Linked DNA regions of Mus musculus: all the other regions are reported to be linked to region 2. Evidence: microRNA targets listed by miRTarBase, many of them from high-throughput screens and not tested one by one. Region 2 holds a microRNA gene; each other region holds the end of a gene's coding sequence.
The links. The annotated mature microRNA mmu-miR-150-5p reads UCUCCCAACCCUUGUACCAGUG and lies in region 2 at 3,605-3,626, opposite strand. An mRNA with a match to its seed (bases 2 to 7 or 8) in the 3' UTR can be bound and repressed. Matches are read on the target gene's strand: a 7mer-m8 pairs with bases 2 to 8, a 7mer-A1 pairs with bases 2 to 7 and ends in A, and an 8mer does both.

Region 1 (6,014 bases), not on the chromosome of region 2:
AGGTGGCTGGAACAACCATGGGAACCTTTGACCAACAGCAGCTCTCATGACCTCAGGGAACCCCAATGTTTTTGATCACCCCTGGTGGGCATTTGGAGAGTGCGAGGGGAGATAGAGACCTTGTTGACTAGTGGCTCCCACAGCTGTGCTCCCTGCCTGCCTCTCCCTGTAGGTGCTGTCAGAAGCATGATTGTTGCTATGCCCACCTGAAGATCGATGGATGCAAGAGCCTGACAGACAACTACAAATACAGCATCTCCCAGGGCACTATCCAGTGCTGTGAGTGCCCAGGGTTGTGGGTCAAGGGCTGGACCTGGGAAGTCCTGTCCTCCTCTGCCTCCATAGACCCAGTGTGCTACTACATAAAGCACTTGACACCTGATGCTGTTCCTTCTCGGTGGGGTGGGCAGTGAGGAGCAGCGGAGGTGAAGGTATGGAGAGGACCAAGGGGACGTCAGCCGTGCGCTCAGCACTGTTTAACCTCCCTGAAATGCCATGACCTCCTCTGTAATCTGTCCGACCAAGCCAACAGGAAGAACTTCAGGAGGTGTTGGCCACACCCATTCTCATGAGGGACCCATAGGCACCCCTAACATGGTCTTGTTTCCTTTTACCACGATCAGGCCCTGTAACACCTCACCTTAAGGTTAATGGAACTGCGCACGCGCGGAAGCTAACACAGATGCTCTCCTTGTGGAGACGCTAGCAACCCCAGCTTTCAGGAGGAGCGGTGGTCTGAGCTGGGGATGGCTCCTTGACATGCCTAATCCTCCTACAGGCTTAGATTCCCCACATTTCTGCTTGGCCATGTTCATTCACTCTGTGGCCCTCTGCCTCCTGCCTTCCCACCTGCTCACCTGGTTCAGCTTTCTCCCTCTAGCATAAGCCCCGGAACGGTGCTCAACGGTTGTTCAGTGTGCAGACGCGAGATTAGGTAACAGAGTATCCAATCAAAGAGGCTATCTCCAAAGATGACCAAGCACCACGTTGGTTTCAGGACCCCTTCTGCACCCCACAGGCAGTCTCGGGAAGGGACACATGCTGAGCCGTTCCTGTTTTTTTTGCCCACAGCTGACAACGGGAGCTGGTGTGAAAGGCAACTGTGTGCTTGTGACAAGGAGGTGGCCTTGTGCTTGAAGCAAAACCTGGATAGCTACAATAAGCGCCTGCGTTACTACTGGCGGCCCCGTTGCAAAGGCAAGACTCCAGCATGCTAAGGGAGTCCACTCTGTCTGTCCCCTGGATTCCACCCTGTCCTGGGACATCTCAAGCATTGAAGTCCTGCAGCTTGCTGCCTCCCACTCTGGTGTCTAGTCTCCTGGACCAGCTGGCTTTTCAAGGTCTCCTTGCAAAAGGGCCTGGCCTTGAGGACTTCCTCTTGGTGCCTTTCTACTGTAAAGGACCCTTTTGATCTTTCTAACGGTGACACTCCTCTCCCTTCAAACTCTGGTCTTTCTGGACCAAGGTCAGAGCTCAGCCCTCTGATGCTGTGTTCTCCCCCAACTAAGCTATGAGACCTCTAGGTTCAGCCCTGCCCCATTTCAGATTCAGTGGTACCCTCTGGTGGTACCTTGATTCAGGAGTCCCCTAGAACCAAGCCCATTATGGGCTCCAACAACAACGGGATTTAAGGGTGGGGGAAGTTGCAGTCTTGTTGCACTCGGTGGGTCCTGGAGCTTGGCCTGCTGTTTCTTGCCCGTTGTGCTTTCGCTGGGATCTCTTGCTGCATAATAGCTCAGGCTCCGGGGCCGTCCTTTGGAAGCCTCTCTTGGCTAGCCATTCTCCCCAGCGCTAAGGACATCATTGGGCTGGACTGTCTGGGTGGCATCACAGCCCACATTTCTCCTGAGACCAGGATGATAGATGTTCCAGTACTTTGTCTCATCCCAGGCCTGGTTTCTTTCTCTGGAAACTTTCTCCAAAGAGCCCTCTTAATAAACAACTTTCACAAGAGCCCCTGACTCAGGCTCCACCTCTGGGGAAACACGTTTTAGCAACATTTATAAATTCCATGACCTCTCTCCCTCCCAGAACCACCGGCCTAATTACAAACCTCAGAACTTTCCTTAGCTGCTGCAGCTAAGGAAAGTGTGTTCATTAGTGGCAGATTCAGGAGCCAGAATTCTTGGAAGATCAGCTTCCCATATGAACATGGAAGGGGGACTAGGGTTTGAGGGATAGCTTTGCTGAGTATCCTTTCTGGCTCAAACTGACCCAGCCTACCTTCATCCCTGCAGCTATTGGCATTGAAGGGACTCTAGCTAGCCTAGACCTGGCAAGCATGGCTCTGGCAGGCCTTCCCCTTTTCCCCAATTCTCTCTGCCTTGCTAAAACAAAACAAAACAAAACAAAACAAAACAAAACAAAACAAAACAACAACAAAACATTAGATTGCATTCCTAAAGCTAGCCCCCAAAGTCTCTTCCCTTATTTGGCCAGTTTCTCCTCCTTAGGCTGACTACCAAGGTCCCCTATCAAAGTATTGAAGTCCAGCAATCAAAGGCCCTCTTTGAGGCCGGGCAGTGGTGGTGAATGCCTTTAATCCCAGCATTTGGGAGGCAGAGGCAGGAGGATTTCTGAGTTCAAGGCCAGCCTGGTCTACAGAGTGAGTTCCAGGACAGCCAGGGCTACAACAGAGAAATCCTGTCTCGAAAATCAAAAAAAAAAAAAAAAAAAAAAGGCCCTCTTTGGTTCACCCAATACGCCCAATCAAAACATACCAAGGCACCCAGCCCATTCTAACACAGACCTCCCCTTTTCCCGATTCTTATAAATTACACCTGCAAGGTCATTTGCTGCTGTTTTTCTGTCTGAGTCAGAAAATAGCCACTTTAACTTTTCTTCACCGCTTAATAAAAGGTCTCTCTGTGAAAACCGGTCTTTGGATGTGATTTGTGACTAATTCAGGGTCTGGGAGGGAGCCCCACTATGAGAGGGTCTCCTTCAGGGGTCACCAAGGTCCCCATGGTTGGCCGAGCTGAAGTAGCATCTGAAACAGAACATAGGTTGGCAAAAGGTATCCCATCCAGCAGGTCCGGCAGTTATTTGCCTGGCAACAACTGTTTCAAAGAACATCTGTTATTCTTGTGTGAATAGCTGTGTTTCCAACCTCAGGGCTGAGGGAACCAGAACCGCCCACACCCTCCAGCTTGTGACTCAGCATAACAAGACAGAGAAGTTTTCTTAAAACCCCAGTGAGGCAGAGTACAAAGAAGTCCCCGCTATGGGCTCTGGGTTCAAATCCCCACAGTTGAAATGCTCATTTTAGTGGGGGTGGGGGGTGCGAGAGCAGGAAACTGTGCTGGAGACGGAGCTTATAATGAACTTAAAACCGTCACTTTATTTATTTTTAAAGTCTGCTGAGAAAGACGTCCAGGCTAGGCATGATGGTGTCTAAGTCTGAGACAAGAAAATGACTAAAAGAAAGGAAAGAGAAAAAAGAGAAAAAGAAAGCAAGGGGAGGCTGGAAATTGGGGGTATGGTGGGGGTAGGGTGAGGAGAGCTTGGCTCCCGGCTTGCCTCTTTGGTGGCTTGAAGATGTCTTCAGAGCCTGGTTTCTCTCCTGCCCCTGGCTGGGCTACGCTCACTCACTTTGCCAGTTTTCCTCCTGGGCAGGCTCTCCGTGGCTCCAATAGCAGCCATGGTTCTCCAGACCTCTAGACACTGAAGTGGCCTGGCCTCTTCCACCACAAAGCCAACTTCCCCTAGGGACGAGCCCCCCTGAGCCTGAGCTAGCTTAAGAGAGGAGGGATACCCTGGTTGGTTTAGACTTCCATGAATTTAGTTGTCCCTGAGAAGATGTGCAGATTCCGCTCGTGGTCCACACTTGGATGGTCTGCGGACATCAGCTTTGAAAGCCCGTGCCTTGTCTAGAGCAGTTACAAAGTAGCAGCTCCCTCTATTGAGCAAATGCTCTGGCCAGATGGCAGAATCTTACTGCGCACACACACAGAAACCACCTTGTTCAGCAAGAGACGCAAGGCACAAAATGATAAATACTTATCTCATGCCTGGGAGAGAGTCTTGCAGAGGAACTACAAGGTAAATCAGAAAGGGGTAAGACATCAGCCATATTAATCTGGAGATGTAACTCGGACAACAGAGTGCTTACCTAGCATGTATGAAACCCTGGGTTCAACCCTCACCAACAAATAAAATGAGGTATTGCAGCGCACAACCGTAATCCCAGCACTCTGGAGGTAGAGGCAGGAGGATTAGAAGTTCAAAGTTGCCGGTTGTTGTTGGTGGTGGTGATGGTGGTTCACACCTCTAATCCCAGTACTTAGGAGACAGAGGCAGGTGGATCTCTCTAATATTGAGGCCAATCAGATCTAAAGAGTGAGTTCCAGGACAGCCAGGGCTACACAGGAAAAACCTTGTCTTGAAAAACCAGAAGGAGGAGGAGGAGGAGGAGGAGGAGGAGGAGGAGGAGGAGGAGGAGGAGGAGGAGGAGGAGGAGTTGTTCAAGTTCATCCTTGATGTACTGGCTGGTTTTGTGTCAACTTGGCACAAGCTGAAGTTATCACAGAGAAAGGAGCCTCCCTTGAGGAAATGTCTCATGAGATCCAGCTGTAAGGCATTTCTCAGTTAGTGATGAAGGGGACAGGACCCATTGTGGGTGGTGCCATCCCCGGGCTGGTAGTCTTGGATTCTATAAGAAAGCAAGCTGAGCAAGCCAGGGGAAGCAAGCCAGTAAGAAACACCCCTCTGTGGCCTCTGCATCGGCTCCTGCTTTCTGACCTGCTTGAGTTCCAGTCCTGACTTCCTTTGATGATGAACAGCAGTATGGAAGTGTAAGCTGAATAAATCCTTTTCTCCCCAACTTGCTTCTTGGTCATGATGTTTGTGCAGGAATAGGAACCCTGACTAAGACACTTAACCACTTACTGATTGAAGCTAACTTGGGCTACAAACTCAAAGAGGAAAAAAACCAAACCAAACAGAAAATTACCATGAACTTATAGAACACACCAGACCTGGAAAGTAAGGGACTACAACCTTCTCCACTGGACCTCACAGAAGGAAGGCCACCTAATACTATAGCCATCTTGGTGGGTAGCTTAAGAAAACTTGAATTGTGGCCAGATCCTTGTCTTGCCTCGCTGGCCTCCAATGCCCCCTCCCATCAGCTTCTGAGTATCTTAGCGGGCCACCTCAATGCCTCTGTCTCTGTACTGGCTCTCACCCAGCTCTCAACCTCTACCTTCAGTGAGGTCTTTGAGCTCCATGGCTTCTTTGAATTCTTTCCCAGACACTCTGAACCCTGTTTGAAGTGTGGAGTGTGACCCAAGAGCTCCTATCAGTACTTGAGATTGGAATAACAGGACCCAGGAAGGCCAGCGTCCGTTCTACCAAGGGAAGTTAGGGTTAGTTGGTAAGTTCTAGCCAATGAGCCCGAAGATACTAATGTTACTTGTGCATCTATTGTGGAAGGACACCCATGTCTGTGTCTGTGACACTGTGACTCACTACTGAGAGGGTGTCAGTGTCTCAGGGGTGGCTGCCAGACTATCAGGATAGTGTGGGAGGGAGGAGCAGGGGTTGGGGGGTGTTGCCAGAGTGACAAGTCCAGGCGTAGGACTAAGATATACTGATGGGGAAGACAGGACATGGCAGAGCTGTGCTTCCCTTGTGGCTATGTTGTCACCACGCAGGTAAAGACACGGGACTCAAGGCTGGGATAGGCAGAAGGGGCCTCAGGCAGCCACATCTGTGGGCCTCAAGGTAAGAGGAGGCCCACATGTCTGAGGGTCTTCTGAACAAGTTTTCTATTACTGAAACTGGGTAAGAAGCAGAAAAGAGGGAGAGATTCCAGGGCATGTTTGCCCCCCACTAACTTCTCCTTCGGGTGAATCAGTGATGAAGGCAGGAGGAAGTATCTCCTAGGTTCCTGATCCCTCCAGTCTGGGTCTATCTACCAAGGAGTGCCCTGTGGGTAACGGGTGGGCAGCTCTGAACAGCTGTCAAACACCCAGGAGCCCACTCCTTCCGCCTCAGACCCAGGTGTCGTTACC
Region 2 (6,014 bases):
AAGAGCTGGTACCTGGACTGTAGGAGGTCAGGCCATGACACAAAGGCTGGGACTAAAGGCATTTACCACGCCTGAGTCTTCTGGTTCTTTAAACATCAAATCCTTCCGGGGGCTGGCGAGATGGCTCAGTGGTTAAGAGCACAGACTGCTCTTACGAAGGATCCGAGTTCAAATCCCAGCAACCAAATGGTGCCTAACAACTATCCATAATGAAATCTGATGCCCTCTTCTGGAGTATCTGAGAACAGCTACAGTGTACTTACATATAATCTTAAAAATGCTTCCCATGTTAACCACCACTAGAGTTTTTATTACAGCTAGCTGACCTGGAAGCCAAGTCCTTATGCCTCCGTGAGTGCTGGGGTTAAAAAGATCCAGCACCACTCAAAATGTCAATCTATTTTGAAAATATGCTTTATACTGTTCTAGCCCATCTGTGCAGGGCTAGAACGGTGAATACGAGAAACTGACACAAGCTTTTGCCACCTGGCTAAATGGTTCCTCTATTACCTGGGGTGGTCACCTAAGGTTAGACACTCATCCACGAGTAGTCAGGACATAAACCCATCAAAGTGTGGGTAGACGCGCAGCCTGAGATACTGTCAACAAAGGACATGCGACCTTGGTGACGTCGGCCTTTAATAAAAGGAAGAAAGGTTGACTATTCGGTCGACGCTGGCTGCTCCTGACATCGTATGGCAGATACTCTGCTGTAAAGCGGTTCACCCCTTTCTTGAGACCCGCTCTGCACGGCCGCTTCTCTCTGGAAACTGAATCCCAGCACGTGTTTCCCAACCCGTACGGCACGCCTTCTCCGCCCTAAGCCTCGCCGTACCACATGATGCACGTTTCCTCCACATCGTGCTCCTGAAATCTCGCGAGATGATAGGATCTTCCCGCCCCTTAGTCCTCCCCCGTCATGGCGGCGTACGGACAGTCCCAGGAACGCGGGCTCTCGCCGGAAGTACCTCCCACCTCCGTGAGGATAACCCCGCGTCACTTCCGCCCCGACCTCGCGTGGTGAATAAGGAAGCCGGGAGCGGCCCTGCCTCTCCCTTTCTCCGGCGGCCGGGAAGATGGCGGACATTCAGGTTCGAGCGTTTAGTTGCTTTCCCCCGACGCTTCGGTGTGGAGCGTATCCCTTGGCGTCCTCGTTGTCTTACGCATTAGCTGAAGCGAGGATGCCTGCGAATGCCTTCGTCTCAGGCGGCTCGGAAATCCGGGCTCTACGCAGTAATGGGGTCCCTGGCGCTTCGGGAGTTGGTTCTTAAAGCTCAGAGCTTAACGGGTGAGGGATTGTGGCGGGAGGAGGGCATCCTGCGGCGCGGGAGTCCTGCGGCGGCAGAGCCGGGGACACTGGGTAAAGCAGGTTTTTTCCCCTTGATGGAGACTGAGGCCCGGACCTCGTGCGCTCTACGGCAGGGCTGCGGTCCCGACCTCGCTGTAGTTTTCAGTGTGAGCGCAGCTCTGGCCTCGATGAGCTTAGGCTTGTCTTAAACTTGCCATCCTGCCTCAACCTCAACCGGGATGACAGATCCGGCCCACCAGGCTCGGCTACGTGGACATAAGCTTGAATCCCGAATGAGTGGATTTGTATGTTTTGGAGGTCCAGTCTGGCTGAAAAGCTCTTTTTGATCTCAGCCGTGAGTTCTGCAGGCTGTGGAGGTGTTAGATGGGACGCAGTGTGTGAGCTAAACTAGACTTGGGGTGGTTGGAGAGCCCTGACCAGCCGGTTTTGGCGATTGGGGCAAATAAGGTTGAAGGTAGGAAGGAAGAAATATTGTCTCTGATTTCCTTGAACTTTACCTGCAACCTCACCAAATTCTCATCCCTACAGACGGAGCGTGCTTACCAAAAGCAGCCTACGATCTTTCAAAACAAGAAGCGGGTTCTGCTGGGAGAAACCGGCAAGGAAAAACTCCCTCGGTACTACAAGAATATCGGTCTAGGCTTCAAGACGCCTAAAGAGGTACAGGACCCTCCAGCAGATGAGATCCCTGCTGCCCTGCACGTGTGGGAGCACAGCCACCCCGCCCCCTTCACAGTGGCTTCCCATGGGCCCCTGGGAATTGTAGTATGGGCCCTGAGGCGTCATCCTTGGTTCTGTTTAGGAAGTGGTAATCTAAACCCCACTTTCTTAACTTTGCAGGCTATTGAGGGTACCTACATAGACAAGAAATGCCCCTTCACTGGTAACGTCTCCATCCGAGGTCGGATCCTGTCTGGTGAGTGGGATGTTGGAAGGGTGGTTCTAGGTTCCTGCGTCCAGGGGCGCTGGCAAGTGATGTCTGTTCTCACGATGGTCTTCAGATGTCCTCTAGGGCACTGCTGAGACAGCCAGTTGACAAAGCTGATGCCATAAATGGAGCTTCTTGGGAGCCCCGTTCAACTGACTCCTACCTGCTAACACCTTTCTGTTACTCTCCCAGGTGTCGTGACGAAGATGAAGATGCAGAGGACCATTGTCATCCGCCGGGACTATCTCCATTACATCCGAAAGTACAATCGCTTTGAGAAGCGTCACAAGAACATGTCTGTGCACCTGTCCCCCTGTTTCAGGTGACTCTGGTAGCTTGGGATAATGACTCTAGACAAGACAGTCACTGGCTAGGCTGGAGGTGTCCCATGGGCAGAGCAGTGTGGGGTCCAGGAGTGTGTAGACTGCTGTGTGAACGTCTGGGAACTAGAAGTTGTAGTTTGTTAGTCTTAGCAACTGCGTAGATGGTGACTGGTTGGGTGGAGCAAGGGTGGCCCCCACCCCTTTGGCCTGTCTGGATGAAGGAATTGCTGGGGAGGCCCCTCCTGAAGACTCCTTGTCTGACCCCACAGGGATGTACAGATCGGAGACATTGTCACAGTTGGAGAGTGCAGGCCCCTGAGCAAGACTGTGCGATTCAATGTGCTCAAGGTCACCAAGGCTGCTGGCACCAAGAAGCAGTTTCAGAAGTTCTAAGGGGACTCTGGCCAATGCCCTAGAACAAATAAAGTTATTTTCCAACGTACAGAACAGGCTTGGAGTCTCATGTGTCCTGGGACAGAGCAAAGATTGCCAGGGCTTTCCTGAGCTGGAGGTATCTGCTGCATTTATGAGCCTCTAAATCTTGGTAACCAAGTAGAACACCCAGGGTCAGCTACCTGGTGCAGGCAGCCCCTGCTCTGCCTGCCTCTCAGGAGGAAGTAAGGGTGGAGCCTCTGACCTTAGTTTAGGTCTGAGCTCTTCAGTGTCCCTGGGAACCACCTGGGTCTCTGGTCTTCCCATACTCACCTTGCAGGTGAAGACACCTAGGAAGGGGCAAGTTCTCCAACTTGAGTATCATGATCTGCTTGAACCCCTGTAGCCACTGCCTCCCCTCTGGCTTATGTCCAGGGACAGGGCCAACAAGGACAGGAACCCTTCAGCAGTGAGATGAGAAGAAGGCCCCAGGTTGTCCAGGATGGATGTTGGAGTGATGGGAACACCCACTTAGGAAGGGACCCAAGGCATCCCCTGTATGTAGGCCAAACCTGGGGAAAAGTCCCTTGGCTGGAGGGAGAAGCTGGAGTTGTTGCTGCTGGGGTTCCCAAGTCCCTATCCCCCAGGCCTGTACCAGGGTCTGAGGCACAGCACTGGTACAAGGGTTGGGAGACAGGGCATTGAGAAGAGTCCTCTGCCTGCAAGAGATGCTGCGGAAAGCACTGCTTCACCACGGCCTTCTGCATTTAACCAGGCTGCTGAGGGAGGGGGTTCCTGTCAAAGGAAGTGGGCCTGCATCAAAGCGAGCAGGAAGGGGCAGGGACAGGTCAGGAGGGGCACCGCCCAAGCTGGGTGCCTGCCAGCCACCCAGGAGTAGAGCCACTAAGCAGAGGAGGGGCGAGCCCCAGAGCTACAGGGGACAGGGACCCTGAGGAATCTAAAGCCAATTGTTGAGAGGTGTGGCCCCCTCCAGCCGCAGGTGCTTCCGTTCCGGGTGGGGCTGTGTTTACAACAGCCCAGCTCCCCTGTTTCCTCTCAGGGGTGCTTGGGGCTTCACCTTTCAAAGTTGCAGAGTCTGTGAGGGAGGGGACACCTGAGAGAAGAGAGACCCCTGACGACCCCTCAGCAGTTTAGTCATCTGCAGAGTGGAGGTTGTCTTCTTAGGCCTTTGCACAAATGAAGAACACTGCCTGAGAGCCTAGCACTTCCCCTACTGCACTCTGGTTTGTCAAACCCCAGTGCCAGCCACGCCTGGCACCTCTCCCGGTGGAAATGTCTTCCAGGCATCATGGTTTTATATGACTTTTACAGAGTCTTGCTGTGTGTCCCTAGATGGTCTGGAGCTCTGTGTAGACCAGGTTAGCCTCAGATTGACCACACTCTCCTCACCTCTTGGCTCCTGGGTGCTGAGATTCCAGGTGACACACAGCCCATTTGGGCCTTTAGTCTCAGGCACCAGTTTTCACTTAGTAACTAATATCCAGTTCCAATCACATGTAGACGTTGGTGATAATCCAGCTGCCAGGGGGGCTGAGCTGAGGCAGGAGGATTGTCAGAAGTCAGAGACTAGTTTGGGCAACACAGACCTTGTCTTAGACTAAAGACCTAGGGATGTGGCTCAAAGGTGTAGTGCCTTCCTAGAATCAGACAGCGAGGGGCTGGGGTTGTAGCTCCATGGTGGAGGGCTTTTCTAACAAGTACAAGGTCCTGCGACCATCCGCAGCACCTCAGGGACACAAAGGGCATGCAGTTGCAATCCAGCACTTGACAGGTAGACACTTGAGGATCAGCAGTTTAAGGGCACAAGAGACCTGTTTCAAACGAAGCCTGGTATGGTGATACCCATCTTTGGGGTTTTTGGTTGTTTGTTTTGCAAGACAGGGTTTCTCTGTGTAACACCCCTGACTGTCCTGGACTTGCTTTTTAGACCAGGCTAGTCTCAAAACTGTGCCCACTAAATGCTGGGTTTAAAGGTGTGTGTCACCACACCCAGCAGTGGTACACGTCTTTGATCCCAGAACTCAAGAGGCAGGCAGATCTCAGAGTTTGAAGTCAGGCTGTCTGCATAGTGATAACCTCTTCCAAAAATGAAAATACTAATGTGAGTGAGTGTGTGTGTGCCTGCCACAGACCCCCATGTAGAGGTCAAAGGATTCAGTTCTCTCCATCATGTGGGTTCCACAAGTCAAACAGACCATGATGCTTTGTCTTAAATACCTCTACCTACTGAACCAGCTCACTAGCCCACACTTCCTCCTTGAGTCTCCTGTCAAACTTACATCCTGCCTGTTGGCTGCAAAGGCTGTATATATCTGCACAGCCAGTCCCTGGAAGTGGGAACTGTGAGGAGGTGCCCCAGGATCCAGGTGTTCTGAGACAGGCTCAGCACTGACCAGCCTCACTGCTCACTCAGCCATAGACCTTGAGTCTCCTCATCTGTAAATGGTGGCCACGCTAGCAGCTAGCTGTGCAGGTAGGTCACTCTATGGCCCCAGGAGAATGACCTTTGGCAGGTAGCTGCAGAGGTTATGTATGGTTATGGGACCTGTGTCTTCTAGAGCAAGCTTGATGAAGTCATTTAAGTATGCTTCTAGAAGATTCTGTAGCGAATCATGCCTGGTGAGAAGACCAGAGAGGAGCCATTGGCTCTGGGCGGGTGAGGCTTCTCAGCAGGGTCTTGGGTGTTTGTTTTGGAGTCAGGGTTCTGTGTAGCTCTGGCTGTTGTGGAACTTGCTTTGTAGAACTGGCTGGCCTCAAACTCACAAAGAACTTCCTGCTTCTCCCTCCCAAATGCTGGGATCAAAAATGTGCATCAGCACCACCCAGGACAGGGTCCTGGTTTAGTGACAGCAGACTTTGGCCCACCAACTGCAGACAGGGCAGGCAGGCCTGGCCCTGCTAACTGTGGCTTGGTCTGGCTGTGTGTGGAACTTTCTTTGGGTGGGGAAGGCAGAATGGTCAGGCAGCATTGCTGCTCCTCCTTTTTGGGTTCTTTGTGTTATGTCTTGTTTTGAGACACTTGCTGTCTCACTCTGTTGCTGAGACTACCCAAGAATTCACT
Region 3 (6,014 bases), not on the chromosome of region 2:
TTGACATTCTTATGGAAGGCTAGAATAAAAGTCAAACAGGCTGGAGATATAGCTCAGACAGTCTGAGGCTCTGTGTTATACCCTGGATGGGTGCTACACACGCCCCCACATGAAGCAAGGGGAAGTCGAATATTGTAGCTGGGGAAGACTGTGTTTGTCGGCCATACCTGGAATGACTTCATTTTAATGTGAAAGAAGCAAGCTGAAGAATTTGTGATATGACTTCAGGGCCGGGCTTGAGAGTTAAACTCAGCAGTTAAGAGCGCTAAAGGTTCTTCCAGAGGTCCTAAGTTCAATTCCCAGCAACCACATGGTGGCTCACAACCCTCTGTAATGGGGGATGGGATGTCCTCTTCTGGTGTGTCTGAAGACAGTGGCAGTGTCCTCATGCATGAAATAGATATTTCTAAAGAAGGAGGAGGAGGAAAGAAATAATAATAATAATACAGGGCATATACAGGGCTAACAGGATTGTTCAGCAGGTAAAGGTGCTTGCTCTCAAGTCTGATAACTGAGTTTTATTCTCAGGATATGGGGGCTTAGGTGGTGGTGGTAGGTGACCAACTTCTACAGGTTGGCCTCTTGCCTCCATTTTTGCATGGGATGTGCCTGGACCCCAGCCCCTGTGGCTGGTTAAATGTAATTAAAAAGAAAATAAGAAACTGGGCACGGTGGTGCACATCTTTAGTCCCAGCACTCCAGAGGCAGAGGCCAGCCTGGTCTATATAGTTAGTTCTAAGCCAGCCAGAGTTGCACAGAAAAACCCTGTCTCTAAAAACAAACAAACAAACAAAAAAGGGCTAGAGAGCTGGCTCAGTGGCTAAGTGTTAGGAGTGCTTGTTGCTCAGGTTTAAGTCATAGTGAAAGAACCTAGTGGAGAAACCCCCCACTCAATTCCGAGTTGGTGTGCACCCAAGGAATCACGAGAGACTGTCTTGATGCAAACACATGAGGTAGTTTAATGACGGAGCTCCGGGCCGACATGTATCTCACACAGGAGATTGCGGTTGTCGACCACTAGGCTTGAAAGCTAGGGGTTTTTATAGAAAAGGGTCTGGGGCTGGGGGAGGAATTGGCGCGGTTTCACACGATTGGTTCATTTAAACATCAGCAGAGTGTATGTGCAGATGGAGGTAACAGCAGAGCATCTGGTTAACATTTAACCCATGTCAGAAGGGTGGGAGATAGGGAGGCGCCAGGCCAGTCTGGACATGTCTTTGCATTCTCTTTATCTTTATGGCCAAGCAGCCTCAGGAATGTCTTAATGATGGGCCTGCCCAGGCATGTCCTGGCCTGTTCTGCTATGTTCTCAGTCCCAGGCTTCAAAGCTCACAAACAACTCTTTGGGCTATTACATGAATCACAGGACTCAAGTTTTATTTTCTTTCAATAGCACCACATGGCAATCCACAACTCTCTGTGACTCCAGTTCCAGGATAGTCAATGTCCTCTTCTGACCTCCAAGGGCATCAGGAGTGCACACATAAATACACACAGGCAAGATACTCATACTTATAACATTTTATAATCATAACAAGGCCCAGGTACATGTGAGGTCCACATGCATGCACGTGGGCACTGCAGGCTGTGTAAGTATGGGTATTTACACACGCTGTTTACAAAGCACTGTTCACTCCGGGAGGGTTGGATGGTTGCTCTCTCTCCTCCATCTCCACCCCAGCCCATCAGGTAGAGAAGAATCCATAAAGACAGACCTGTCTTTCAGTGCGCCTTGGGGTGTGGTTCCAGAGAAACTTGGTTTTGTTAAAAGCACCAGTTAAAGAGCTCACATAATTTCCTTCCTAGATGATGTTTCTAACACGATTTTCCTCTCATATGATTATTGATCTGATAGAAGGAAGATATTTGGCAGATGTTTTGTCTCAGATGGCCTGGCAATGCTGGGCTAACAAGGAGGAAGTAGCCTGGGAGCATCCTGGCTCTGGGAGCACCATCAGCCTCTGGAAGCTATGGGAGTGTACATGGACCCACCCTCACACACAGTCTTCCCCGTCCCTTTCAAGCCTGCTGTCTGAGGACCACCTGTGGGAGACTAAAGAGTCTGAGCAGGCCCTGTAGTGGGCTTAGGGGGTCCCCAGTGACTCAGGGAAAAGCTTCTCCTGGCCATGCCCCTTAACAGTGGTGACAGGGACTGCACCACTGTGCACAACTTTACTCTGAGAAGATGCACAGTACGCCCCAGAGATTTTAAAGATGGCTCAAGTGTGTGAGCGGCCAATCCACAGAGTCCATGAAACTCTCATCAAGATCACAGGCCCCAGCTGGAGAGATGGCTCAGCGGTTAAGAGCACTGACTGCTCTTCTGAAGGTCGAGTTCAAATCCCAGAAACCACGCAGTGGCTCACAACCATCTGTAATGAGATCTGACGCCCTCTTCTGGTTTATCTGAAGACAGCTACAGTGTACTTACATATAATTAATAAATCTTTGGGCTGGAGCGAGCAGGGCCGGAACGAGCAGAAATCCTAAGTTCAATTCCCAGCAATCACACGATGGCTCACAACCATCTACAGTGTACTCATATACATAAAATAAGTAAATCTTTTTTTTATTAGGTATTTAGCTCATTTACATTTCCAATGCTATACCAAAAGTCCCCCATACCCAAGTAAATCTTTTTTAAAAATTAAAAAACATCACAGGCCCTTCAGGGAAGTGAGGGACGAAATGAAATCTGGAATAAACACAAAGTGAGGAAGCCCCAAGTGAGGATGCTGTGCCTCCTGGAACAGGGCAGATAGTGCCCCCTCAGGCTTGGAGTCATCATAACAATGTGGCTGGACTCAGAGACAGCTGCTGACCAACCCACAGATTTAGGGCAGCTGAGCAACAGGCTGGGAATGTGGCAGAGCCTTGCCAAGCCTGACAAGATCCTGGATTCCATGCCCAGAGCTGCAAGGTCAAACCAAACCAAAAACAAAAACAAAAAAAAAAAACAAAAAAACCCCCCAAAAAACCAAAAAAACCAAAAACCCCACCAAATTAAACCAGAAATACCAAGCAGAGAAAAAGGGAAATAGAAAAATGAAGGGCACAGAAGCAGTCATTCCTTAAGGATGCTCAAAGGCGAGGAACCAGTTAGATGGCCGAGAAGAAGGGAACAGGCTGGCATAGGTGTATATGCGGGTACACCCAGCAGAGGGGTCAGGAAACCCTATCTAGGTTCAAGGTCCCTGGCTACCTGCTGGGAAGACTCTCGTGATCCAGATTTGCACAGACATTTGCATGTTGCTTTGAACTAGACTTCAGGTCACCAGAATTCCATGTTCCAGGCCTTGAGCAGAACTACCATGCCTCTAACAGCCAATAGGGGAGCCCCAGTGGCAGGACTACGGTGGCCTGCAGGATGTCAGTGGGATGGCAAGGCTGACAACCAGAGTTCCATCTCTGGGGACAAAATAATAAACGAGAGAGACATCTCCCCCCAGCTGACCACCCCACCCCCCGCAGTGGGAAATGTGTACCCACACATGACACACACCAAATAAAATCCTTTTTTTTTTTGGTTTTTCGAGACAGGGTTTCTCTGTGTAGCCCTGGCTGTCCTGGAACTCACTTTGTAGACCAGGCTGGCCTCGAACTCAGAAATCCGCCTGCCTCTGCCTCCCAAGTGCTGGGACTAAAGGCGTGTGCCACCACTGCCCTGCTCCAAATAAAATAAAGGTCATCTAAAACAATTACAAACAGCAACACAGATGGGGGACACTCCTGACTCTCTGGCCCCAGGAGACAAGGTCTGTGGGCTGTCCCGTGGTGTCTGCAGCCAACAGCTTAAGAAAGGCGAGGGCACAAGGTGTCCTTTTGGGCTTGCTGGTCTGCAGGCGCCTCCTCCTAGGAGAACAGGCTTCAGTGTTCTGGCACGTTCCTCCCACTTCAGGGAGACAAGGCAATCTGCCCAGACTCTACAGCTAGAAACCCAAAGAAGCACAAGAGCGTCCATGTTTCTTCTCTTAGAACGCCTGATTCTGCTTACAACAGAGTCCGCATAGATTTCTAATCAGAGTAAGGGCTGACAGGCACTTCCTTGGTACTTGGTCCACTCACAGAGTGAAGCTGTAGTGTGGGCTGAGGCCCTCCAGGGCAACAGGACCAGCAGAGATCCACTGTGGAGGTAAAAAGGCCAGCTTAGGAAGTTTGGGAAGGTCATGAAACACTTGCCCCTCCAGAAGGAAGAGGCTAATTAACATTTCTCAGACCTTAGGGCAGAACTGCCCTGTGGGTGGGGACACATCCTGCAGGACACCTTCAGACAAGGGACGTCCTTGTCACTTCATTCCCTAAAGACCAATCAGTTTAAAGGGTGCACTGCTCCGCCAATCACGTTGTGCCTAGTTGCTGATGCTCTCTTCTGCCCCTGGAAACCATATAAAAACTCCCTGAATGGGTGCTGGGGGTCGCCGCCTCTCCTTCGGGTCTGGGAAGACCCCAGTGCACTGGAACAAAAATTCCTCTTGCTTTTTGCATCTATTCCGGCTCCACGTGGTCCACTCAGGGGCTCCCTGGTAAGCAGAGGCTCCCTGGAGTCTTGCAGAGGGACGGGACTCTGTCCAACAAGTTCTCTGTCTCAAAGCTCTGTGGCATCAGTAGAGGCCCCTGCTCAGGGGTTGGAGCCTAGCTCCCGTGTAGCGGCTCAGCTCCTCCAGCACCAGCTTCTCCTGGTTGTACATCTGGAACACAGCAGAGCACAAGCTCTGGAGGGACTCTGGGGACCCTTGTCCCGAGTCCGAGTCCTCCCAGGGTTCACCTCCTTCTGAAGCCCCCCTAGCCGCTCCCCCAGGCTCTGCACAAGTCTATCAGCAGCACCTGAACAGAGACTCAGAGAGCTGTAGGTAGATGCAAGATCAAAGGACAGGACAGCAGGGAGTGGGCTCCCAAAGGAAGGGGGAGAAGCTGGGGTACACATGGGGCCCAGGGAAGTGTGGGGCAGGGAGGGAGTGGGCATAGACAGGGCTGGGTGGTAGCAGAAGCAGACTGCGATCTACTTTTAATTTGAAAAAAAAAGTTCATTCATGGGTGCTGGAGAGATGGCTCAGCAGTGGAGAGCACTCACTGCTCTCACAGATCGCCTGGGTTCGGTTCCCAGCACCCGTATCAGGAAGCTCACAACCAGCTGTAGTTCCAGTTTCAGGGGATCTACTCCTTCCTCTGCCTCTGCAGATAACCAGCACACACATTACCTACAAACGTAACCCAAGCCTATTGGACAACGTAGTGGGCTTTAAGTGTGGTACCCATTGGCCGTTAGAAGAAAAAAACCATGACTTAGCATTATTTGTTGCCAACTGATGGGTAAGGGTTTTTTTTATTATTTTTTATTTTTTGTATGTTTTTCTGAACATTAAGTGTCCCTTGACCCCCATCGATAATAGCTAGCATTCAGGGAATTTAACTTTCACCTGCCTGTCCAGGGTGCCTTTCAGGAGTGAAGTATCATGAGGAGCCAGAGCCTTCAATACAAGACCTCACCTTTCCAGGCAGGATGGATGGAGGCTGTAGTTCGGCCTCTTGCCATGGGGTTTCGAGGTGGGGGAGGGGAATGCTGGGCAGCAGCCTAAGGGTTAAGGGTGTATCTGGGGTAGCCCCTTGCACAGGTACCCCTCCTACCTTTTGCCACTCGGCTTTGGAGCTGTGGGTGAAGCCCAGCAGGTGACAGAGTCCATGGGTGGCTGTGACCTGTTGGAGTAATTGAGAAGTCAGCTCAGGGGATGATCTACCAGACGGCCGCCCCTTCGGGCTCACAGAGGACCCTTGTAAGACTGAGTTGTCCTACGCCAGGACCCTGGGGCAGGATACACAGTTGCTGCCCTGGGTTGGAGTTAATACTCAGTTCTCTCCTGTCTAGGCAAGTGCTACCAGTGAGCTACATCCCAACCTCTATCGCCTCCTGTCTAAAACAGAACAATTCATTCACTCAGTTCACTTAATTAGTGTGGAGCAACACTGTTTGGGGTTGAGACCAGGTAAAAAGAGTTGATTGTCCCTGGCAGTATTGG
Region 4 (6,014 bases), not on the chromosome of region 2:
AAAGAAGTGTGCTTAAAGAGATACACCAGTGTTTAAGGTAGTCTAGCCACAAGTCCTAGCAAGTAAGGCAGGCTTATCCATGCAGTGCTCTACACACACTATCTCCTACTTGAGGATGTTTGTTTGGTTCAGTAGCATTTGTGTTGTGTCTGTGGTAGGGGGAGTATGGACTTAAGAATCAATTACCTTGGTTCCTACCTCCACTGTGACACAGTGTGGAGTGGAATAACCTTGTGTGGAATGTGTCACACATATTTTGACTCTACCCTGGGTTAAATAGGTAGCATAAGTGTATTGAAAGCAGAGGCCTCAATGAAATTCAGGAGGAACAGAATTGTCAGAAACCAAAAAAATATTTCTAGTCCATGCTAACTCACTGTTTAAAGGACAAGAGTGAAGCATGTGGTAGTAACCAAGGCTGGGGGCCACTGTCATTAGAGCCCCAAATGGTATGTTTGCTGTCTTGAGTGACTAGTAATGAGCTATATGGGTGGAACTTGCAAGTTGTCAAAGAGCACCTTAAGTCTTGGAGTTGGCTCACTGAGACAATTTCTCAGGGTCTTTTATACGCAACGCTGCTTTGGCACATTCATCATGCCCCATGGCTTACTATATTTTTTATTTAGTGAGATACTGTCTTCAAATCTTTAGAAAATCAGACACTATTCAAGTTTATAGACACAAAACCATTGAATATACGTGGAATCTTTCTTGGTAACTTCCTACATTTCTAACTTCATGTGAATTTTTTTTACACAGAGGAAGCGGGATAGTGAGAGTGAAAGTGATGAGACCCCAACAGTTCCCCAGTTGAAGGAAAAGAAGAAGAAGAAGGATAAGAAGCCCAAAACTGTGCTAGAAAGTGGGGGCGAAACTGGAGATGGGGTATGTGTGAACCATGGGTGTGCCTTTGTGTCAGCTGAGTCTTTGACAGGAATTGTGCGAGAGTGGGGTTCCTACCATTGCCTTTTTTGGTGCTGCCCTGTGTTCTAGATTTGCCTTGTCTACCTTCTTGGACACAGAAGTAGGGGCACCCAGCCTTTCAGAACAGTGGATCATGGTTGAATTATGTTGCTGCTGGGTAGGGAAGGTGTATTAAGTAGATCTCTCTAAGACTTCACCGAGAAGGTCACAGGCAAAATTTGTTTAACCCCAAATGTCTTAGATTTTTGAACAGACTTGACTGTGCAATTTGTCAGATTTCTTTTGGGAACAGTAGTCATAAATGTTTTGTCAGTGGGTACATTGAACTTACTTTTACTTTCTCTTTCTTTAGGACAACGACACCACCAAAAAGAAAAAGAAGAAGAAAGTAAAAGTGGTAGAAGAGATGTCTGAATAGTTTAAGCCACTTCTGGAAGCATTATGTCCAGCTGGGAAGAAAAAGAAAAGCCTTATTGGAAAAACTTTTTGTTGAGGGAGAACAGAGGTCCCAGAGTAGAAAGTTCTGGTATACTTTTAGCTGCCACTTGTGACCTCAGTGGTTAGCTGGTGTGGCCATCTCATCCCATCCTGTCCTGTTTTAAGGATATGAGAGATAAAATCAGGCCTTTGCCACCAACCCCTCTGCTTGCTTGAGGAAGCCACACCTTTAGACATGGCATGGCCTAGTAACTATCTGCAGCTATTTACTAATGAGCATTTTCAACAATGCCATAGATAGTCCTCTCCTACTTTGCTTTTTAAAAAGTTGGTAAAAATTAAATCTGCTACATAAAATGGTATAGAACCTTCTGTGAGAGAAAAAATGTAATTGAACTATGTTCACTGGGGGACTCTTATCTCCAGTGTTCTATGAGGACTGCTCTATTCAGGTATTAACCTTGCCTGGTGGTATCTATGATATTTAGGCTAGTACTCTGTATTTTTGTGTACAACAGGATTTCTCTATATGGCTACTTGTGTTTCTTATGGAAGCCAAAGCATTCCTGTACCTTCCTATTTGTTTTCTTTTAAAGAATGGAATTGCCGGGCGTGGTGGCGCATGCCTTTAATCCCAGCACTTGGGAGGCAGAGGCAGGTGGATTTCTGAGTTCAAAGCCAGCCTGGTCTACAGAGTGAGTTCCAGGACAGTCCAGGCTATACAGAGAAACCCTGTCTCGAAAAAAAAAAAACCAAAAAAACAAAAAACAAAACAAAAAAACCAAAAAACAAAAAAAACAAAAAAAAAAACAAAAAAACAAAAAAAGAAAAAAAAAAGAATGGAATTGTTCAGAATGGAATTGTTCATTGCTGAAGAATGTAATTTGTAGTTTTTTTTTTTTTAAAAAGTATTCCTGTTAGATTTACTATGATAATCTTGGACTGGCAACAAAAGTGAGAGAATATTTTTATTAAAAGTCTGAGGTTTATGTCCTATTTTGAATTTGCTTTTCCTTTGGCTACTTTTAAATTTCCTAATTCTGAGTCTTTCTTACATTGGCACTGGGGCCTATCTGCTCTCAAGGGAGATCATTACTAATCCAGGGTTAAGAGGAAAGGGGTAGATGCATTTATATTGTACTGGGCTTGTGAAGAGGTTGGAGGTACTCCAGGTAGGAAACTGCCAGTTTTGGTGTTGACTGCAGAGGGAGCAGGGAACTTTGCTTAAATATGTGCCCAAAACCAAGAATATAAACACAAGTTTTAGGGGAAATTGTTAATAGCATAGGCAGGTATAGAATGCCCAAACAGCCCCTGCTTTTGTAACATGTTTTAAACCATTCTCTTACGACTTAACAAGTCCTAGAGAAGACGCCTTTGTGCATTGTGAATACCAGACCTATAGAGGCAGTGACAGGTAATTCCCAGAGATCTTATGTTAATGTCATTGCTTGGAAGGTTAAGATTGGGAATGGAGTTACAGGGTCACGGGTACTTTAACACAGCAGCATTTTTATTGCTTTGGAAGATTTTCCCTACAGCAGACATTCTATTGCACAGCTGTTTGATTTTGGCATTTTAGAAAGTTTTCAGAAGATATTTATTCCAGAGTAAAAAGACATTCTATAGTTGAAAGCAAAGGAGCTCAGGCTTCAGGGGGACAGTTGGTTTATCTATGTAGCATTGCATTTGGTTATTCTTATGGCAATTTTCCAGAGATCATTTTGAAATGTAGATAGTAGGAAAGCTTCACCCCTTTAGGAGCCTGAGTAAGAAAACAGCAGAGCTAAAAGTTGAAGCAACCCTTTTGGCTTAAGCAAGGGAGGGGGTGCGGGGAGGTGGCATTCCAAATGCTGGCTGAAACATGTTTGCCAATTCTGTAAGCTTAGTAAACCCAGGAGACAGGCACCCACTGTGGAGAACTGCAAGCCTGGTCAAAGGCTTCTTGCAATTTCTTAAGAGTTTCATCAACACTATTATTCACCAAAGAGAGGTCAAAGTAATGAGCATACTGACTACGGATGGCCTCAGAGTCCTTCTGCAGCTGCTGCAGGGCTTCAGTCTGCAAAGAAGAAAGCCATAGATGAAGCAGCAGTCTTTAATCACAGCAGCAAAGGGAAGATTTAAACAAGTTTACATTAACTGGTTCCCCATCTGTTTTTTTGCATGGTGGTGATCCATCCTGTGGCCTAGTATCTGCTAGGTAACCAATTAAGAATATAATGTTTGCCAAAGGGGTTGAGAACCACTTAACTATTCTAATGAATGCCAAACTAACCCTAATTACCTAGCACAGCCTTCACTAGCATTCACTTAGTTTTAGCCCTTTGTTTATGGAAAAGCCATTTTAGCAACTACTACAGCTATAATCCAAGGATAAGGGAGAAAGTTTATTGACAAGTCTCAAGCCTCTGGCTCCAATGGTCAGTTAACTACATAAAGGCAAAAGGATAGAGAAATATGTGTCATAGTGGTGGTGGGGATATTTGTAACTTTCATTACAGGGAAGTACCATAATATAGAATTCTTAGATGAAGTCACTAACTCAATGGAAACATGAGCTAAGGATATGGCCAGATATACAAGCAATACAAATAACTTTTAATAAGTGTGTGTGGCAGTCTTATTGACTCGACTGCCTTTGAACTCCAGACTGGCCTTGAGCTCCTGATCCTCTTCCTTTCACCTCCCAATTGCAGTGATTGACTCTCAATAGTAAGAAACAATCTTTTATAGTAAAACAAAGTGAAAATGCCATTCTTCTAAAATGTTAACCAATTCTTTTAAAAATGTTATGAATGATGTTAAAGAGGAAACAGCCACTTTTACAAGCAGGCTCCTTTCCCACTGTAGCCACACTGCACCCTGTGATGGATCTAGTACCACCTCCATCCTTCACAGCTCCTTCTGTTTGCTTCACATCAGTATATATCATATAAGAAATAGGATTTATTTAACTGTCCGTCTCAGCCATTAGAACTGTTCATTCAGGACTATGACTAGAATTGAATTATTTAATAACTAATCTCTTGAATAACTCTGGAATGAATAAAATATGCATGCCCTTTGTCTTCTTGGCCTTGGAAAAAACAGTTGACAATGACCTAAAAGGTGTGGACCTCCACCCATGTGACCCCTTTCCCACCTGAGTGCCCTGGTCAGTAGGTGCGATGAACACAATGAAAGGTGAAAGCTCAGCTGTCCGAACAGTCTTTAGGGTCTAGGAAAAGGGAAGAAAAGGAGAAACAAACAACCCAGTTGTCTGTCAGAATGTATTCCTTCTAATAAGTGTTAAATCCCAATACCAATTTGTATCATGCTGACCCCACTAAAACTTTAGGAAGCAAGATTTCCAGGAGCTCACGTCCCTCATTACATGGCTGAAACCATTGTTCCTGCCCTTTTATGCCTACATACCTGGGGCTCAATGTCAAGGATGGCAATCTTGTCCTGCTTATGAATCTGGTGCACTGTTTCAAATTTGGTGCCAAACATGTTGCCCTGATAGCTGCCAAACTCCAAGAACTCATTGGCAGAGATGTTCTTCGTCATCTCCTCTGTTGAGATGAAATGATACTCCTTCCCATCTTCCTCACTCTTCTTTGGTGGCCGTGTTGTATCTGTGTATAAGAACTCAAATCCTTGATGAGCTCTTCTTGGTCCTTGCTATCTTTTAGTGTACTGACTCAAAATGTCTATATGGAAACTCTACCCATCTTTGGGGCAGATAATATAATAGAGATGTTTTTCTCATGAACTGAAGGATTGGTACTGGAAGGTAGTACAGATACAATACCCCCACCTACCCATCTCTCCAGCACTGTTTTGTTTTTATGACATGGAAAGAACACAATGGTTTTGTTTAAACATTTTGTTAAAAAGTTAAAATGTTGGGGCTGGCAATTTTTCAGCATTTGCCACAGAAGGCTCATAACCTGAGAACCTGAAACCATGTGGTGGAAGGAAAGGACTGACTCCTATAAATTGTATTCTGACTTCCATACACATGCTATAAAATGAGTGCACACACACACATGCTGTGGCATGAGTACACACACTGCATAATAATACTGTATAATAATACTGAGTAATAAATAATTCTTTAAAAAAGTTAAAATGTTAAGAGTAACACTCTAGTGCAGAGATAAATTATATATTCCCAGCCTCTTTTTATCCTATGATGAACCATCTTTACCTTCCACGCCAGACACTTGTCTCTAAAATGACTTCTTTCCCTCAACTTGCACATTGAAAACCCTGGCAAGGGTGTGTGTGTGTGTGTGTGTGTGTGTGTGTGTGTGTGTGGGTGTGTGCCAGTGCCATGATGTGCATATGAAAGTCAGGGGTCAACCAGTGGGAGTCAGTTCTACTACCATGTGGTTCTGAGGGTTAAATTCATATTGTTAGGGTTAGCAGCCATCTCCTCAGCCCTATAAGTATATATTACATTTCCAAATATTTTGTGTTTTATGTGTGATTTTTCCTTCCTTCCCCCTCTCCCTTTCCCTTTCCTTCTCCCTCCTACTCCCTCTTTCTCTCCCTCCCTCCCTCCCTCCCTTCCTCCCTCCCTCCCTTCCTTTGCTCTTCAATGTGGATTCCAAAGACTGAAATCAGGACGTCATACTTTCCGAGAACTTTACTGACAGAGTTAT
Region 5 (6,014 bases), not on the chromosome of region 2:
CAAATTCCACTTTTTATGAGGTAAAGTGCAGGCCACAAACAATGTTTCCATTTCTAAGCATCAAAGGATTGTCACAACAGCCAGCCTTAGGGTATGTAAGAAGTCTTTGTTACTTTTGGCAGTTCAGGGTTCATAGTGATGTAAAGAGGCCAGAAGACACAGAGCTTAAGAGCACCTGTTGCTTTTGCTGAGAACTTGGGTTCAGATCCCAGATGATTCACAATTATCTATTTGTACTCCGGTTCCAGAGGCACCAGTACCCTCTTTCTTCCCTGTACATACAGGTAGGCAATACTCACCTACATAAAATAAGTCTTAAAAAACTTCTTCTCTCCCCTTCTCCTCCTCCTTCTTCTAATTTTATGTGAATGGTGTTTTTTGATGTCTGTCTATGCACCACCTGCATGCACAGTGCCCACAGAAGCCAGAGGGTATTGAGGCCCTAGAACTCCCAGCCGACCATGGGGTTACCAGGGGAACCCATATATCATACACTCTGTGTGCATTATTGGAACTACTAAATATATATATTTTTTCTGATTCCAAATTGAATTAAAAAGAAAAAAAGGATAGGGGAACCTAAACCACAAGCAGTGCCTGTTGGCATCCAAAGACCAGTTTTGCAGACCCACTCCAAACTCAGGATGTCACACATAGGTGTCACCTGTTGCTATAGCTACCACATACCTTCCCAGAGCCCTGCTTCCCACACTCACCTGGGTACCCCCTTTCGCTTTTTTTCTTTTCCCCTTTGTCTTTCTCTCTCTCCCCTCTCTGTCCCCAGTAAAACCTCTTACACATGGAACTGCTTTGGCCTGGTAAGCAATGTCAGACACTAGCTGCTATTCTAACACATCAGTACCCAAATCCCTTTGCCCCCATCAGGGCTGCGAGAGAAGCAGGTAGCTTCACCAAGGCCATGGCTCCCTCATTCCTGGACAAGGTAGCTAGGACAAGGGCAGGGTCTCCCCGACAGTTTGAAGGGGTGAGGAAAACCATAATAAAACATCAAATAAATTGAACAGGAGTCCAGCCAAGGTCCCAGCCAGAGCAGAACCTGACTGGGGGAGGGGCCTCTGTAGGCTCATGGATCACTGCTGCTGCCACCACCACCACCACCCTGGAAGCCAGTTATTTTGCCATGGCCTTGATTGCAACAGCAGCCGCCTCCTCTGTCATAGCAGACAGCACTGTGATCATGGATGGAGTTTCCAGGGGAGCTCTGTGTGCATTATTGGAATATTACTAAATGCATTTTTTTTATTTAAAAGGTCTCAAAATTAAGATGAGTTCAACTCAAGATGGAGTTTGCTTTTGGTTTTGGTTTAATGTTTGGTTTATGGAGACAGAGTTTCTCAGTCCTGGCTGTCCTGGAACTCACTCTGTAGACCAGGCTTAGCCTCAAACTCAGATCCACCTGCAGCTGCCTCCAAGTGCAAGGATTGAAGGCGTGGGCCGCCACCATGCTGCTTAGCTACAGTTTTGAGGTACCATAAGGATGTTGGGAATTGAACTCAGGTGCTCTTGGAGGAGCAGCCAATGCTTTTCAACTTTTTATTTATTTATTTATTTTTGTGAGTCTCACATTATGCACCTGCACCCCAATCTCACTCATCTCCCCGTCCCTTCACATCCCCCTCTTCCCTTGCAACTTCCCCACAAACACACCCCATGGAGAGCATTTTGACACGGACACTATAGTGTGCCAGGGTGTGTTCTACAGTATACCTACCCTCTTGTCCACACATCTTGCAAATGTTCATTGCATTTAGTCACTGGTCTGGTTTGAGTCTTCTTGCTTCTGCAACACTATCAATACTGGATCCTCACAGGACTCCTCTTAGTTATCCTGTTGTTGGCCTGGATCATGGAAATCCTGCAGCTTTGGATCTGTAGGACCAGCCCTTGCACATGCTCCAGCAGCTCATAGATGAATTAGATTTTGGGGTGGGACAACTCAAAGCGCTGGATCTGGGTGGTAGCTGAGACAGATGGCTAGCCCACCAGCTCTCTCATATCTGCACCACCAGGGCAAGCTTTCTAGCACTGCCCTTGCTAGCTCACCCAATACTGCAGCTGGCAGTGAGGGGCTGGGCCAGCTCTCCCACTCACTCCCTCAGAGCTGGCTGTTGCCCAGACAAGGTGCAAGGCCACTCTCCCAAGTCCTGCCTGTTCTCATGACCTAGGACCTGCCTCAGGTGTTGAGGGATGGGGGAGGGCATCTCCACTGCACCCATGTCCCATCATGGCAGTGGGGCCAGCTCTGTGCTGCTCCTGCAAGGTGGAAGGCCTGCTCTCCTGATTGCTGCAGCCAGTCAGGGGTGGGGCCAGCTCTGGATATCTGGATATCAGCCCTTGGATATCTATGAGGTCTCTCCCACACAGCAGCCCAGACCAGGGAGGTCTGCATGGTCTATGTAGTAATATGATCCAAGAAATCAACAGGCCCCTGCTACTACATGACCACAGACCCAGACATGACCCGCAGTGACAGCATGACAACCAATGCTCTTAACCACTAGAGAGACATCTCTATCTCCCCCCTTACTTCTCTATATGTCTACCACATGGATGGCTGGAGGACCCAATTTAAAGCAGCACTCTATCACCTGCCTAAAACTGTTGGTGGGGTGGGGGTGGGGGAGATATTAATATCTGAATTTAATGTAGCCCCAGGAGTTTAGAGATGTAAACTGTACAGGACTGAGCATAATTTCTGTGTTTTATCCATTTTTTAAGGCAAAAGTCTCACTATACAGTTCAGGCTGCCCTCAAAGTCAATATCTTACTATTTCTGCTTCTCAAGGTCTGGGATGGATTACAGGAGTGTGAGAACCCTAAGGGATATGAATTTCAGACTGGCCTATAACAGGCAGCAGCACCATGGGCTCCTTGGCAGCCAGCCAGTACAAATCACCCAACATCCAGATGCCCTTTTCTTTCCAAGGGACTGAGTGTGTGTGTGTGTGTGTGTGTGTGTGTGTGTGTGTGTGTGTGTGTGTGTGTGAGAGAGAGAGAGAGAGAGAGAGAGGGAGAGGGAGAGGGAGAGGGAAAAGGAGAGGGAGAGAGTATGTTTAGAGAGAGAAAAAGAGTTTAGAGAGAAAAAGAGAGTTTGGAGATAGAAAGTTTAGAGAGAGAAAAAAGTTTAGAGATGAAAAGAGAAAAAGTTTAGAGAAAGAGAAAGAAAAGTTAAGAGAGAGGGAGAGAGAGGGAGAGAGTGTGTTTAGACAGAGAAAAAGTTTAGAGATAGAAAAAAAGAGTTTAGAAATAGAAAGTTTAGAGAGTTTAGAGAGAGAAAAAGAAAGTTGGGAGATAGAGAAACGAGAGAGAGAAAGAGTTTAGACAGAGAAAAAGTTTAGACAGAGAAAAAAAGAGTTTAAAGATAAAAGAGAAAGTTTAGAGAAAGAGATTGTTTCTCTGTGTACCCTGGCTGTCCTAAAATTTGCTCTAAAGATCAGACAGGCCTCAAAGTCAACTCAAACATTGTCCTGCCTCTAGAGTGCTGGGATCATAGGTGTAGATTACCATGGCCAGTGGGACTTGGACCTTCTAAGGGACTTTTAGAATTTGTATTTAGACGGATGAGCCTAAAACCAGAGTGACATCCTGATAGGGCAGACTGGCAATGTGAGGATCCAGATGAAAAGCCACAACAAACTACTAACATTGTTTTAGAATATTCTTTTTAATGATTATGTGTTTCTGTGTACATGAACACATGTGTAGTAGGTGACCAGAGAGGCCAGGTGAGGGCATCCGATCCAGAAATGTAGTTACATGGGTGCTGGGAACTGAACTGCAGCCCTCAACAGGAGTGGTGTTAATCTCTCAACACCACCCCCTAACATTTTTCTTAAAATGAAAGAAAGAAAGAAAGAAATCTAAAGTGCAGGTCATCAAACAATCAGCCCAGATTTCCACGTTTTTTAATCGTGTATCTGTGATGGAAAAGCAATTGTTCCATCATATAGGCTATTTTGTTTTGTTTCTTGTTTGTTTTTTTTTCCAAGACAGGGTTTCTCTGTGTAGTCCTGGCTATCCTGGAACTCACTCTGTAGACCAGGCTGGCCTTGAACTCAGAAATCTGCCTGCCTCTGCCTCCCAAGTGCTGGGATTAAAGGAGTGGGCCACAACTGCCTGGCTATATTTTTTAAAAAATATATACATATAAAAAAAAGATGTCAAGATGGAGAAGACAATTGGAGCGTGGAAGGAAGCACATTTCTTTCACATTCAAAGCTCACAACACAGCCCCACACACAGACAGGCGTTTTGTGCTCGGCATACCCTCCACCTCCAGTTCCAGGGGCCGCTTTTGACTGGAAGTCTGGAAATAAAGCAAAAGGAGAAGTGTTTAAGAGAAAGCACAGCTTCTATCAAAGCTCCTCATAGTTCAGTAAACTAGGGGCATTTCATGGAAATGACTAGTTGTCATGACAACCGAATCCTCCTCACACACCTCTGGAATCAAGATGCTTATCCATGCTCCCTGGCGATTTCTAACCACTAATAAATGTACAGCCACTTAAAAAAAAAAAAAAAACCTTTCAAGTGACACAAAAGCAAGTTCAAATTGGATCTTTCCTAGCAAAATTCTGGGTGAGGTATGATTGTAAAGCAGCCAGAGCTCCCGGCTCCCACAGGGTTACCAGGGAGCTCACACACGCTACTGTGCCACACCAGCTATTATCGTTAAATGCACTTTCTATTTAAAATGCCTCCATTTGAGATGAGTTCCTCAGAATATGATCCCACCGTAGGCTGAAGTATATCCGAATGTGGACAGCAGGCAGCACCAACAGCTTTGCTTGGTTGCTGTCTCCTGACACTGTCTACTTATAGCTACTTAGACTTTTCCTATTCATAAATTCAAGAAAGAACAGTAAGGAAAAAGGATCGAGATCACTGACCAAATATACCACTGATCAGGTATAACTTACAAAGAACTTGAAAATGATAAAACTGCAATCAAGAAACTTCCTCTCCCAGCACTTGGGAGGCAGAGGCAGGCGGATTTCTGGGATCGAGGCCAGCCTGGTCTACAGAGTGAGTTCCAGGACAGCCAGGGCTACACAGAGAAACCCTGTCTCGGAAAAAAAAAAAAGCAAACCAAACCAAACCAAACCAAACCAAACAAGAAATTGCCTCAATAAAACCATGGTAAAGCAAAACTTTTACTTTCTAACAACAGAAAGTTTAAAACAGAAACCATCATAGACTACTTACCCAAGTCTTACACTTTCTGAAAACTTAAATTCGTGCCTCTAACAGGATCTTCCGTCTTCCGTTAGATTGGCAAGCCCTATCTAATGTTCCAATTCATTCAACATATCCTGCGTTATTAAGTCTTCCAGGGCTGCAGGAGCATATCAAAACAAAACGCAGAAACACTGGCTCGGGCTGGAGGGCTTACCTAAGCAGCATTAGGCCGCAGGTTCAATCCCAAGTACGGCCAGCAAGTAGAGACGATATTACTACATGATATTATGCAAGCAAGCTGGCCTGTGGGTCCCATTCCTCCTGCCTCTGTTGAGAGTCAATGCCCTATCTCAGCCTTCTAAGAGTATATGTATGTGTCACTAAGCCTGCCATTAATCCTTTTCTTAAAAGCTGAGCACCTGCCTCCCCACGGAAAGTTCAGTCATCAGACTTGCTCATCGGCAACTTAATCCTAGACCACAGTGAAGTCATCAGAATACCTGGGCGGGAGCCACAGGGAGGGTCACCGAGTTCTTTTCCTGCACCAGGAGATCCTGAAATTTCTTCTTCATGTACTCATCCTGTGAAGAAATCAAAAGGTATATAGAGATAGGCTGCATATAAGGCAAAGCAAGCTCCCAGAGTGACAGGGAAATGCCCAAGGCTACCTTCCTGACAGCAAACCTCATACCTTTGCAGAAGTTTCCTAATGAAGGGACTTGGCTGTTCGCCTCTGCCTTCTTGGAACAGTCTGTGCTCAATCAGCACTCGCTACATCAAACTCAAGGGTCCTGGGCTCTTAACCAACCAGAGAA

Region 1: miRTarBase lists Pla2g2d as a target of mmu-miR-150-5p. Seed matches in the 3' UTR shown: 7mer-m8 at 2,552-2,558.
Region 3: the mRNA of Ybey is a reported target of mmu-miR-150-5p. Seed matches in the 3' UTR shown: 7mer-m8 at 3,625-3,631.
Region 4: miRTarBase lists Dkc1 as a target of mmu-miR-150-5p. Seed matches in the 3' UTR shown: 7mer-m8 at 2,004-2,010.
Region 5: miRTarBase lists Chek2 as a target of mmu-miR-150-5p. Seed matches in the 3' UTR shown: 7mer-m8 at 4,099-4,105.

The regions. Positions count from the first base shown.
Region 1 is chr4:138,779,177-138,785,190 of GRCm38, forward strand. Pla2g2d (phospholipase A2, group IID) reads left to right here. Exons shown (of 4, transcript NM_011109.3): 3 at 173-279; 4 at 1,072-2,876. The coding sequence ends at 1,217. It overlaps Gm32871 (a long non-coding RNA gene), which reads right to left and starts at 1,188. Exons shown (of 3, transcript XR_390866.3): 1 at 858-1,188.
Region 2 is chr7:45,119,374-45,125,387 of GRCm38, reverse strand. It overlaps Mir150 (microRNA 150), which reads right to left and starts at 3,631; the gene lies at 3,567-3,631. Rps11 (ribosomal protein S11) reads left to right here and starts at 999. Exons shown (of 5, transcript NM_013725.4): 1 at 999-1,091; 2 at 1,838-1,969; 3 at 2,150-2,225; 4 at 2,430-2,559; 5 at 2,830-3,000. The coding sequence starts at 1,077. The coding sequence ends at 2,953. Snord35b (small nucleolar RNA, C/D box 35B) reads left to right here and starts at 2,277; the gene lies at 2,277-2,363.
Region 3 is chr10:76,458,632-76,464,645 of GRCm38, forward strand. Ybey (ybeY metallopeptidase) reads right to left here. Exons shown (of 5, transcript NM_172550.4): 4 at 5,626-5,694; 5 at 936-4,688. The coding sequence ends at 4,602. It overlaps 2610028H24Rik (RIKEN cDNA 2610028H24 gene), which reads left to right. Exons shown (of 8, transcript NM_029816.2): 8 at 1,856-2,587. Among named protein-coding and RNA genes, the nearest start is that of Mcm3ap, 7.3 kb to the right of the region's middle.
Region 4 is chrX:75,107,420-75,113,433 of GRCm38, forward strand. It overlaps Dkc1 (dyskeratosis congenita 1, dyskerin), which reads left to right. Exons shown (of 15, transcript NM_001030307.2): 14 at 760-885; 15 at 1,277-2,357. The coding sequence ends at 1,342. Mpp1 (membrane protein, palmitoylated) reads right to left here. Exons shown (of 12, transcript NM_008621.3): 10 at 4,780-4,982; 11 at 4,508-4,582; 12 at 2,314-3,424. The coding sequence ends at 3,248. Among named protein-coding and RNA genes, the nearest start is that of Gm25520, 9.0 kb to the left of the region's middle.
Region 5 is chr5:110,871,793-110,877,806 of GRCm38, reverse strand. It overlaps Chek2 (checkpoint kinase 2), which reads right to left. Exons shown (of 15, transcript NM_016681.4): 14 at 5,700-5,780; 15 at 3,667-4,327. The coding sequence ends at 4,241. Among named protein-coding and RNA genes, the nearest start is that of Ttc28, 5.0 kb to the left of the region's middle.